2 linked regions of the Arabidopsis thaliana genome follow. The protein of the gene in region 1 interacts with the protein of each later gene in a pairwise test. Each region holds a gene or a part of one and is shown in the gene's direction. Other genes may lie near its edges.

Region 1 (6,026 bases):
TGAAAGAAAAGGAAAAACTTTCAGCTGAAATTTGGTTTTTTTAGACATTTAATGAACATGTTTTAGATGGCAGATAGGCTCTTTCGGTGCTATAACGAGAATCAAAAATATCGTAGCCAAGCGAGAAGATCTTTTGAAGGTTGCAGCTGCAGGACCTTTGGCTGGCTTTTCTCTAGGCTTGATTCTGTTTCTTATAGGGTTATTCGTGCCTCCCAGTGACGGCATTGGCGTTGTAGTTGATGCATCAGTGTTTCACGAGTCCTTCCTTGCTGGTGGTATTGGTAAGCTTTAGCTCTCAATCAAATATGATAAAGTGTTGCAGGCTGAAGCTGGAGAGTTGATCAATGTTTAAATTTTGTTTCTTTTTCTCTTATAGCAAAGCTCCTACTAGGTGATGCACTCAAAGAAGGAACTTCAATATCTCTTAACCCACTTGTGATCTGGGCATGGGCTGGACTTCTCATCAATGGCATTAACAGTATCCCTGCGGGGGAGCTCGATGGGGGCAAAATAGCTTTCTCCATTTGGGGAAGAAAGGTAACACTAATTAGAATGACTTAAAAAGCTTAACAATGTCTTATACTATTCGTCTTTGTGTTCGAGTCCATTCCCCATAGTAGATTGATTAGGTAGTAATCAGAATTATATATGTCTCCTAATGATTTCAGACCGCAACACGGCTCACGGGTGCATCCATAGCGCTTTTGGGCTTATCGGCGTTGTTCAGCGACGTGGCATTCTACTGGGTGGTTCTGATATTCTTCCTGCAGCGTGGACCGATTGCGCCGCTGGCTGAAGAAATCACGGTGCCTGATGATAAGTATGTGTCTCTTGGAATCCTGGTTTTGTTTCTCTCCTTGCTTGTGTGTTTGCCTTACCCATTTGCTTTCACGGGCAATGAAGCCATGATGATTGGCTTGTGAAGTGACTCATATCATTACACCGCACAATAAGAAATCAGAGATATAGTTGTAACTTTTTGTTTTGGTCTCTATGCTCTACTTTGACATCTAAAGTTATGTTTTTGTTCTTGCTCTATATTTTTACTCTCATGGAGCAGTTTAGGAAACAAACCAAATTTCTCACAGAAATGTGAACTAATATTTTGCTAATCAGTTATTAATTACGTGTGGGATTGTCAATCTAGGTTTTGAAAAAGAGACTTTCACTGGTTGGAAAAACAGAAAAGACCAACTTTGTTTATGGGGTAGTGATAATCATATTGTTAACAACTTTGTATATATATATATATATATCAGACGAATTAATAGAAATTTAAACTACATTATAGACATGCGAGAGTATGTGACAAATTTGATGCTATAACGACGTTAAATTCTCTATTCAAGAAAAACAATTCAAAACTTTAATAACATAAAGAAATGACTAGGAAGGATTAATATTAGTATAATAGAAGGAAAGAATAATATTATGAAATTGGAAGGTAAAAGATAAGAAGAAAAGCACATGCTTTTAATGTGGATGGATTTGATTTTGGTTGGTAGCAACTAAAGGCTAAAGCAACCTTCCAATTTACATAGTCCTACTATGATCGTTGTTTATTCAAGAAAATGTCAAAGTTTCTACATTCGTACTATTATATAATTGACTGAAGAAATTAAATACTAATCTGGTAAAAGAAGTAGTATTGTTAACATTCCGCTATCAGGCATGTTACCAACTTTTCTATGTTTTTATTTTTGTTGGAAAAAAATGAAAAACGCATACTTGAGGATTGTCTTGTAATGGCATTAATAAAGAAAGACTTTTCGAACACTAAAGTAAGAAGATAAGGGTTTTTGACTTTTGAGAAAGACGACCGTTCGTATCGTTTGCTTATGAAACTGATGCAATATCTTTGTGAATGACAAGTTTGCTTAGTTTTTCCGAAAAGGGTTCGCTGCCTTCATGGTTCATGCACATGACTTATAGTGAAAAAATGAGGGAAATTGGAAAATACAGGTAAGGGGTATTAAAGTAAATTGCTAAATAAGTCACATGGTCATCTTCTTTATAAATATGCCACATCTCGTAGAATAATCACTAATCAAATTTACTCATTTAGCCGTCACCTCTGAATCTTCTTCTCCGATCTTCAAACATTCCGGCCGCCACCGAGTTCTTAGCCGTTACAATGTCTTCCTCTATGAACGTAGCGACGATGCAAGCACTGACTTTCTCTCGCCGGCTTCTCCCTTCTGTTGCTTCTCGTTATCTCTCTTCTTCTTCTGTGACCGTTACTGGATACTCCGGTAGAAGCTCGGCTTACGCGCCTTCTTTCCGTTCGATTAAATGCGTCTCTGTTTCTCCGGAAGCTTCAATAGGTGAAGCAATGCTCTTCGTTTTTTCTTTTAATTTGGGTTTTTGATTGTTTGATTTTTTACCGATAAAATGCGGGAAAATGGTTGAACGACATTTATGTCAAGCTTATAATTTCTATTCTCTGACTAATTTGATTGGTTTGATTGTGAATGTGAATCTTCTTAAGCGTGAAAACAGTTCTGATACATGTTTTTGGACTTGTTCTCTGCAGTAAGTGATACAAAGAAGTTGGCAGATGCTTCTAAGAGTACAAACCTTATACCAATTTACCGCTGTATATTCTCTGATCAGCTTACTCCTGTTCTTGCTTACCGTTGTTTGGTCAAAGAAGATGACCGTGAAGCTCCTAGCTTTCTTTTCGAGTCCGTTGAGCCTGGTTCTCAGATGTCTAGCGTTGTAAGTATATAATCTTTCTTTGTACATATCCTTTTTATCTGTTAATATGTCTCAGTTCCTAATTGTTTCTTTGATGTGATTGGTCTCGATAGGGTCGTTATAGCGTTGTTGGGGCTCAGCCTGCGATGGAGATCGTGGCAAAGGAGAATAAAGTTATTGTAATGGATCACAACAATGAAACCATGACTGAGGAATTCGTCGAAGATCCAATGGAGATCCCAAGAAAAATCTCTGAGAAATGGAACCCTGATCCTCAACTAGTTCAGGACCTTCCAGATGCGTTTTGTGGTAAGAGATTCTTCTTTATTGTTTATAATGAGTCACTTTCTAGAATAGTTAACTTAAAAGGAATGAAGCCACTAGTTTTAAGGACTGGGGATATGTGATAATGGTATGGATGTCTTCGAGACAAGCTCTTGCTTTTGAGTGATCTTTTTAAATGTCAAGTTTCATGGATTTCTATCTCAAAACCATTTAGCAATTAATGCACGTAACCCGTGTTCACTACATACCATATCATATGGGGTCATGGGATTCCTAGTTGTAAACATGTACGTCTGATTTCCCAAGAGGCAAGAGCAATTGATAAAGTAGAGAACTTTCTTATGCTGGTCATTCTGTCCCTGTTGTGATCTAGTTTTCCCTCTACCTTTTGTGCCCAATTCGCCTTTACGTTCTTGAATATCTTTTCTCGCGCTTTTAGATAGAAGATTGATTGCCCTTAGTGTTTTAGTTTACTTTTTGTGCTTTATCTTGTTCATGAAGTGGTATCTCTTAGTAAGATTTCTTTATTATGATAGGTGGGTGGGTTGGTTTTTTCTCGTACGACACTGTTCGTTATGTTGAGAAGAGGAAATTGCCATTTTCAAAGGCCCCTGAGGATGATAGGAACTTGCCAGACATGCATCTTGGTCTGTACGACGATGTAGTTGTATTTGATCACGTGGAAAAGGTAATCATTTTGTCACCATCCATGTTTTATGATTAACTGAGACATGCATCTTAGTTTCCTTTTTATGCGTTATCTTGTTCTTGAAGTGGTGACTAGAGATTCCTTGTAAAATTTTACAGAAAGCATATGTCATTCACTGGATTAGACTAGATGGGAGCCTTCCTTACGAAAAGGCATACAGTAATGGAATGCAACATTTGGAGAACTTGGTGGCCAAGTTACATGATATTGAGCCGTGAGTATCTCTTTGAATTGATTAAGTTTTTCAGCTCCGTTTGGCTACTATTCTTAAAAGTTGTTCATTTTTCTTCCGCTGTGAATCTATGCAGGCCAAAACTGGCTGCAGGTAACGTGAATCTTCAGACACGACAATTTGGGCCATCTTTGGATAATTCAAACGTGACATGCGAAGAGTACAAGGAGGCTGTGGTCAAGGCCAAAGAACATATACTTGCAGGAGACATATTTCAGATCGTGCTGAGTCAACGTTTTGAGCGGCGAACATTTGCAGACCCCTTTGAAGTTTATAGAGCACTAAGAGTTGTGAATCCAAGTCCGTATATGGGTTATTTGCAGGTTGGTGATGGAGAGAACATTTCTCAACAACTTTGCATTTTGTACTTGTGGATAAACCATCAATGCTGTTTTCGTTCTGTTATTCAGGCTAGAGGATGCATTTTGGTAGCATCAAGTCCAGAAATTCTCACCAAAGTAAAGCAGGTAAATCTCTCTTTTCTCAAAGCTGCATTAATCTTTATATCATTTTTGAAGCTAACCTTTATATCATATTTGAAGCAGAACAAGATAGTGAATCGGCCATTGGCAGGAACCAGCAAGAGAGGGAAGAATGAAGTTGAGGATAAGAGATTAGAAAAGGAACTGCTAGAGAATGAAAAGCAATGTGCTGAGCACATCATGTTGGTTGATCTCGGTCGCAACGATGTTGGAAAGGTTACGAAATACGGATCAGTGAAAGTAGAGAAGCTTATGAACATCGAACGTTATTCCCATGTTATGCATATAAGCTCCACGGTAATTGTTAATTAGATAACTAGTAGTAGATCAAATATCTAAAGTCTCGCATAGTGTGTTCCTTAATATCTTAAGTTCTAATTCTGTGTGTAGGTGACAGGAGAATTACAAGATGGTTTGACTTGCTGGGACGTACTACGTGCGGCTTTACCAGTGGGAACAGTTAGTGGTGCACCAAAGGTCAAAGCTATGGAACTAATCGATGAGCTAGAGCCAACGAGGCGTGGACCATACAGTGGCGGTTTTGGTGGAGTCTCCTTCACTGGTGACATGGACATTGCTTTATCCCTTAGGACAATCGTTTTTCCGACAGCATGTCAATACAATACAATGTACTCTTACAAGGATGCTAACAAACGGCGTGAGTGGGTGGCTTATCTTCAAGCTGGAGCTGGTGTAGTAGCTGATAGTGACCCGCAAGACGAACACTGTGAGTGCCAGAACAAAGCCGCTGGTCTTGCTCGAGCCATCGACTTGGCTGAATCTGCATTTGTGAAAAAATGATTGTGCCCAAGAACAGAGGCTGGCTTTCTTTGAACTCCGAGTTCATGTGTATAAAACAGTTACAAGCAGAACAAAGTTTTTTCTTTTTCTTGATTTTGTGAGAATTGCAATTAGACTCCATTAATGAAGCTCTGAAAAATGTTACAATAGAAACCATGGTCAATAATATTCAGCTATTCTCCCAAACTTGATTCTTCTTTAACCAACAACTGTCGAGCTTTTCCTTTTCTTTGGATTATTGTTTTCTTGATCCACATACTTGGCAGCAGAACGATATCGGATCGCCTTCATGCTATTGTCAACCTTTTTCCACTCGATCACCTGCAAAGACGGCAAATAGCGAGTTGAGGATGCATTCAAGGATGTCAAAGATGAACAGGCTAGAGAGATGAGTACACAAGATAAGTCCATAGAAATGGGTGTTGGATAATGCCTTTTTAGCGTTTAAAGCTTCTTGCTTTGTCTCAAATTCAATAAAACCATAACCAGCATATCTTCCCTTAGTCCTCTCTGGAAGCCCAACGCTCTTGATCTGTCCAAATGGAGTGAAAAGCTGTCTTACTTCTTTCATAGTTGCTTCAAAAGCTATATTTTTCACATGTAACTTTGTCAAAATTGTGTCCTTGTCTAAATCTTTCCCAACCGTTCCACTCGGCTTGTTTTTAGAGAAGCTCAAGATCAAAGCATGCCCATCCACAACAGTTCCCTAGGAGCAAACAAAAAATTGTCACCCTACTTCATCGAGTCCAATCAACTTCAAGTTTCAAATTAAAGAGACTTAACTAGGATAATATACCTGTAGATCTCTGTAGACACTGGT
Region 2 (4,444 bases), 5.4 Mb from region 1:
ACATTGCTGAATCAGTTTCAAAAGGAGGAAGAAATGGAACCTTTAGCCTGAAAACAGCATCCACGGCCATTTCTGCAAAATGTTCCTTGTCCTGTGAGAGAATTTTGGAACATAAAGTAGTCATCGCAATCTTCAACAAGTCTGACCTAAACTTCTCTGCATTGACAAAAATACAATGCTGTAAAATAACAGTGTGATTTCCGTTCTGTATTCAACTGAAAGGAAATCACCGCTTGAACCCAACAGTCGAAGTAATCACACAAACAAGAAAATGCTATACTTAAATATGTCAGCATAACAAGGTTTAACCATCTCTATAATGATTACCTGCATTGTCCTTGTTATCAATGACTCTTTTCAGTAAAGCATTACGAGCACATTCCGAAGCCATTCTGTAACCTAAGAAACCAGAAAACGAAAAAATTAGAAATCATTGCCATAGTGAGAGAAGCTGATACAAAGTTGACATCTTAACACTTAAAGCTCCAAAAGTGTACCTGCTATGATGGTCATAGGGTGAATCTTAGAAGCCACAAGCTTTTCTGCTTCCCTCAGAAGCTCGCCGGCCAAGACAACAACAGAGGTAGTTCCATCACCAACCTCATCATCTTGAACTTTCGAGATGTCTGAAGAACAAACCAGATACAACGAACTGTGAGAGAAAACCCAACTAAGAAAAAACGAATGTGAAAACTTCATGCCAGAATGTCGCAGGGAAATTACATACCAACAAGAACTTTAGCTGCAGGGTTGTCTATGTGAAGTGACTTGAGAATAGTAGCACCATCGTTAGTAACAGTGACCGCATGACCTCTACCAGTAGATTGCAAGATTTTATCCTAAACAATAATAAAAAGGATTCAACAATAATCAATAGAACCAAATTGAAAGTTTGTAGCTTTCTAAATATTCAGAGATCGGAAATTACCATGCCCTTTGGCCCTAAAGTAGACTTAACCAGATCACTGATAGCCATTGCACCAACAAATGATGCCTAAAAGAGCAACAACAAAAGAAAAGAAAATCAGATTTAAACAGTAGAAGAGTGAATCTGAAAAACCCTAAATCCTAATCGATTCAAAAGACTCACCATCCTCGCACGTTCTCCCTTCTCTTCACTAGCATCATCTTTGAAGATCTTATCGATCTAAATACGAAATAGCTAAGTTCAGTTAACGGAGAGCACTGGGGAAAAGCAAAAGGATTGAAAGAGACGACGGAGGAACATTACCGGCATCGGGAAGAGCGGAAAAAGAAGAAGGAGGCTTCTTCAGTATCGGAGATATCCAAGTTAGTCGAATCTGAGACTAGCGAGAAACAATAGATGGGATCGTTCACGAAGAACGAACAAGCCGAGAGGATCTCGAAATATTGAGTGTGCTTTTGAAGAAGAGTAGAAAATGAGAGGAGAGAGCCAAAACCCAGATCTTTCGGAACCCTAAATGAAACTCGTAAAGACCAAACTACCCTCGTATTTCCCAGATTTCTTATGCGCCCTTCAGTAAAAACTAAAAAGTTTAGATTAACCCTTAACCAAAAAGTTATAAGTTACATTAAGAAGTAAATTTTATAGTTTCGACAATTTTGCATTTTGTTTGATTATATAGAGGAAAAAAAAAAATGTTCCATATACAAATTTGAATTTGGTGATGATTTAGCGGTCGAATACAAAAACAGAAATAAATTAATTCGTGATTTGTATGCGAATATTGTTACTAAAAAAAACTATAAATGTAAAGAGGCTTATAAAATAGAAAGAGAAACATTATAAATGTAAGCAGTCAAGGTCCATTTTAGAAGTCATTTTAAGACGACTAAGCCCAACAGTACTTTAAGAGCCCAATGAATCAAGGTCCAGCAAACTCAATTAGTTTAACGTCTCAGCCACTTATAAATTATACACGTTTGGAGTTCCGGATAACCGAAATGAGAAAGCATGTCCCACATAGAAGGCCAACGACACCGTATCATATTCGAGCACGTTTCTAATTACCCTCTTGTTGTCTTTTACTGTCGTAGCACCAAAAGTCAAACAATAAAAATCAATATCTATCGCCAGGTGTCAAATTACAGGAGCTTCTGAGAAGGATAAATCTCGGAGGTTCCCGGTCTGAACGACGTAGAGACGAAGCGAAACAAAAGTACTCTAAGGGAGAGAAGTATCAAAATTCTCATCGGAAAAAGACAGATCTACAAATTTTGAGAGACAAGCCATGACTAAGGTGAAAGATGAGCCACGCGCTTCCGTTGAAGGTGGATGTGGTGTTGCCGACGGTGACGGCGGCGCGGCTGAGATCGGCGGTACCGGATCTGTTGAGAAATCGATTAACGAAGTTAGGTATGAGCTGTGTTTACTGTTGATTTCACATGTTTTTATCTGTTTCTCTCTTTGCTTTGAGTTTAGTACTTAAAATTGTATCTTGTTTCTGATAAGGAAGATCAGCATTTCGATCTGGTTACTTTAGTTTCTATTTAGGGAAAGTCATATTTCTCAATGGAACCAATTTGTTTTTTGGCTGGAACAATTGGATTCTTAACAAACTTGTGTTTTTCAAAGTCCTTTAATGCATACATAAGTTTTCATGTGAATTTGATTAATAGAACTTCACCGTTAACATGTGAAATTGGAGAGACTGGATTCATATGTGGAGAGTTTTCTTAATGTTGCATCAATAAGTCCATCTTTATAGTGTCGGTCACAAGTTTAATAGATCTTCTGCTATTGAAGGTCCACGGAGATTCAAACCGCTGAGCCAACGGTTCCTCCAAATCAACTTACTATTTTCTTTGGTGGAAGTGTTACTGTGTTTGATGGACTTCCATCAGAAAAGGTTGGTCCATTAGAGCTTTGTTGTTGTCAGAAAAACTTCAGAATTTCTGTTCTCACTGTGATCTATGCCTATAGGTTCAAGAAATCCTTCGTATTGCTGCTAAAGCAATGGAGACAAAGAATTCTACAAGCATCAGTCCTGTCTCATCGCCAGCACTGAACAGAGCTCCTTCTTTCTCAAGCACATCTAATGTGGCATCACCAGCTGCACAGCCATTTCCTATTCAGCCAATCTCGTTTTGCAGATCCACGGCTGGTAAGTATTCGATTCAACTGGTTATAGTAATCTTCAAACCTTGAAAATGGATACTCTCATTAGTTTCTTACAATTATGTTTGCCGTAACAGATCTACCTATTGCAAGGAGGCATTCGCTTCAACGATTCCTCGAGAAAAGACGGGACAGGTATGCAGCCTTTAAAATTACACTTCATCCTTCTCCATTTCAATGGAAATTCAAATCTGATCTATTTTATTCAGTTTTTGATTGATTACTAATACAGAGCTTGTTAATGTACCTGTGAGAGACTTGTAAAGACAGATTGATCATAATGTTTAACCTTGATATTGCATCTAACAATAACATTCACTTTTTTTTATCTGCAGATTGGTCAACAAAAACCCTTACCCTACTTCAGACTTCAAAAAGACAGATGTCCCAACAGGCAATGTCTCTATCAAGGAGGAATTTCCAACTGCTTAGCAGAAGATCAAACCTCCACATTAAGCTTATAAGCAAACTAAGTAAAACGTTTTGTCAATATAGTAATTAATATGATAATCTATCATGTACGCTGCTGTGTGTAATGTGTTGTATGATAGTGTCTGTATAGGTTTGCTAGACAAACCGAAGATTGTTTCCATGTCTGGGAGTGGTCAGATATGTTTGCCATTTTACAATTCTACTGAAGAAACTATTGTAGTTAGTAACACTGTCCTAGAGTCTATCTAACTAATGACTCTTTGATGTTATGTTATTGAACTTGTCATCTCTTCAAGATACAATTGTGTGTAAAGTAAAGAAGTCTGTGTTGTTATTATAAGCTTTCATACAAAAGACATTGAATCTATATGTAAAATGGGATTTATAATTGTGAATGATGAACAACAATTCGGAGATGTTTCAAGGAAAGACAATGGGAGTGTGCCATAACTGATTGAAATTTAAACGTACATATATTCACCTCCGCGGACAGCATTCTCTGCGCCCTTCCTCTCTTCTTCGGCCTCTTTCTCTCTCTCTTTCCAGTTTTCGTATTTCTGATCGTCTGTTGGTAATTCATGGCGGCATATAGGGCAAGAGTTATGCTCGTCCTGCCATAAAACAATATGAGCATAAGCTTTATGTTCTTACTTACTAGTAAGCTTGAAAGAATGGGATTTTTTTTTTTATACCAGCCAAGGCTTTAGGCAAGGAGGGTGAAATGTGTGCTTGCATGGCAATTCCTGCATCTTGTCGCCAATAACTAGATTCTCCTTGCAGATGCAACATTCTGCCTCTGCTCCAAACTTTTTAAGCAATTCCTCGGTGAAAATAATGACTGGGAGTTTCTCTACAACTTCTTTACTTGCCGGTGGAGCTCTTGGTGGTCCACCATCATCTAGTATCTGCATA

The links.
Region 2: the proteins of ASA1 (region 1) and JAZ12 interact in binary tests that used the Arabidopsis thaliana proteins (3 or more experiments, as listed by UniProt).

Annotation. Positions count from the first base shown.
Region 1 is NC_003076.8:1,718,920-1,724,945, reverse strand, and holds ASA1 (anthranilate synthase alpha subunit 1), read left to right. Parts: upstream 1-2,035; 5' UTR 2,036-2,134; coding exon 2,135-2,324; intron 2,325-2,533; coding exon 2,534-2,718; intron 2,719-2,810; coding exon 2,811-3,006; intron 3,007-3,518; coding exon 3,519-3,670; intron 3,671-3,789; coding exon 3,790-3,905; intron 3,906-3,999; coding exon 4,000-4,390; intron 4,391-4,468; coding exon 4,469-4,702; intron 4,703-4,779; coding exon of another isoform or gene 4,780-4,795; coding exon 4,796-5,206; 3' UTR 5,207-5,371; downstream 5,372-6,026. Other genes in the region: EGY2 (ethylene-dependent gravitropism-deficient and yellow-green-like 2), read left to right, coding at 74-281, 377-537, 669-923; AT5G05735 (uncharacterized protein), read right to left, coding at 4,780-4,980; AT5G05720 (RNA-binding (RRM/RBD/RNP motifs) family protein), read right to left, coding at 5,405-5,586, 5,693-5,912. UniProt on the Arabidopsis thaliana protein: Part of a heterotetrameric complex that catalyzes the two-step biosynthesis of anthranilate, an intermediate in the biosynthesis of L-tryptophan.
Region 2 is NC_003076.8:7,088,670-7,093,113, forward strand, and holds JAZ12 (jasmonate-zim-domain protein 12), read left to right. Parts: upstream 1-2,034; 5' UTR 2,035-2,213; coding exon 2,214-2,338; intron 2,339-2,728; coding exon 2,729-2,831; intron 2,832-2,905; coding exon 2,906-3,086; intron 3,087-3,177; coding exon 3,178-3,235; intron 3,236-3,245; exon of another isoform or gene 3,246-3,435; coding exon 3,436-3,532; 3' UTR 3,533-3,870; downstream 3,871-4,444. Other genes in the region: AT5G20890 (TCP-1/cpn60 chaperonin family protein), read right to left, coding at 41-156, 328-399, 498-626, 728-839, 929-994, 1,091-1,147, 1,232-1,237; AIP2 (RING/U-box superfamily protein), read right to left, coding at 3,994-4,143, 4,225-4,437. UniProt on the Arabidopsis thaliana protein: Repressor of jasmonate responses.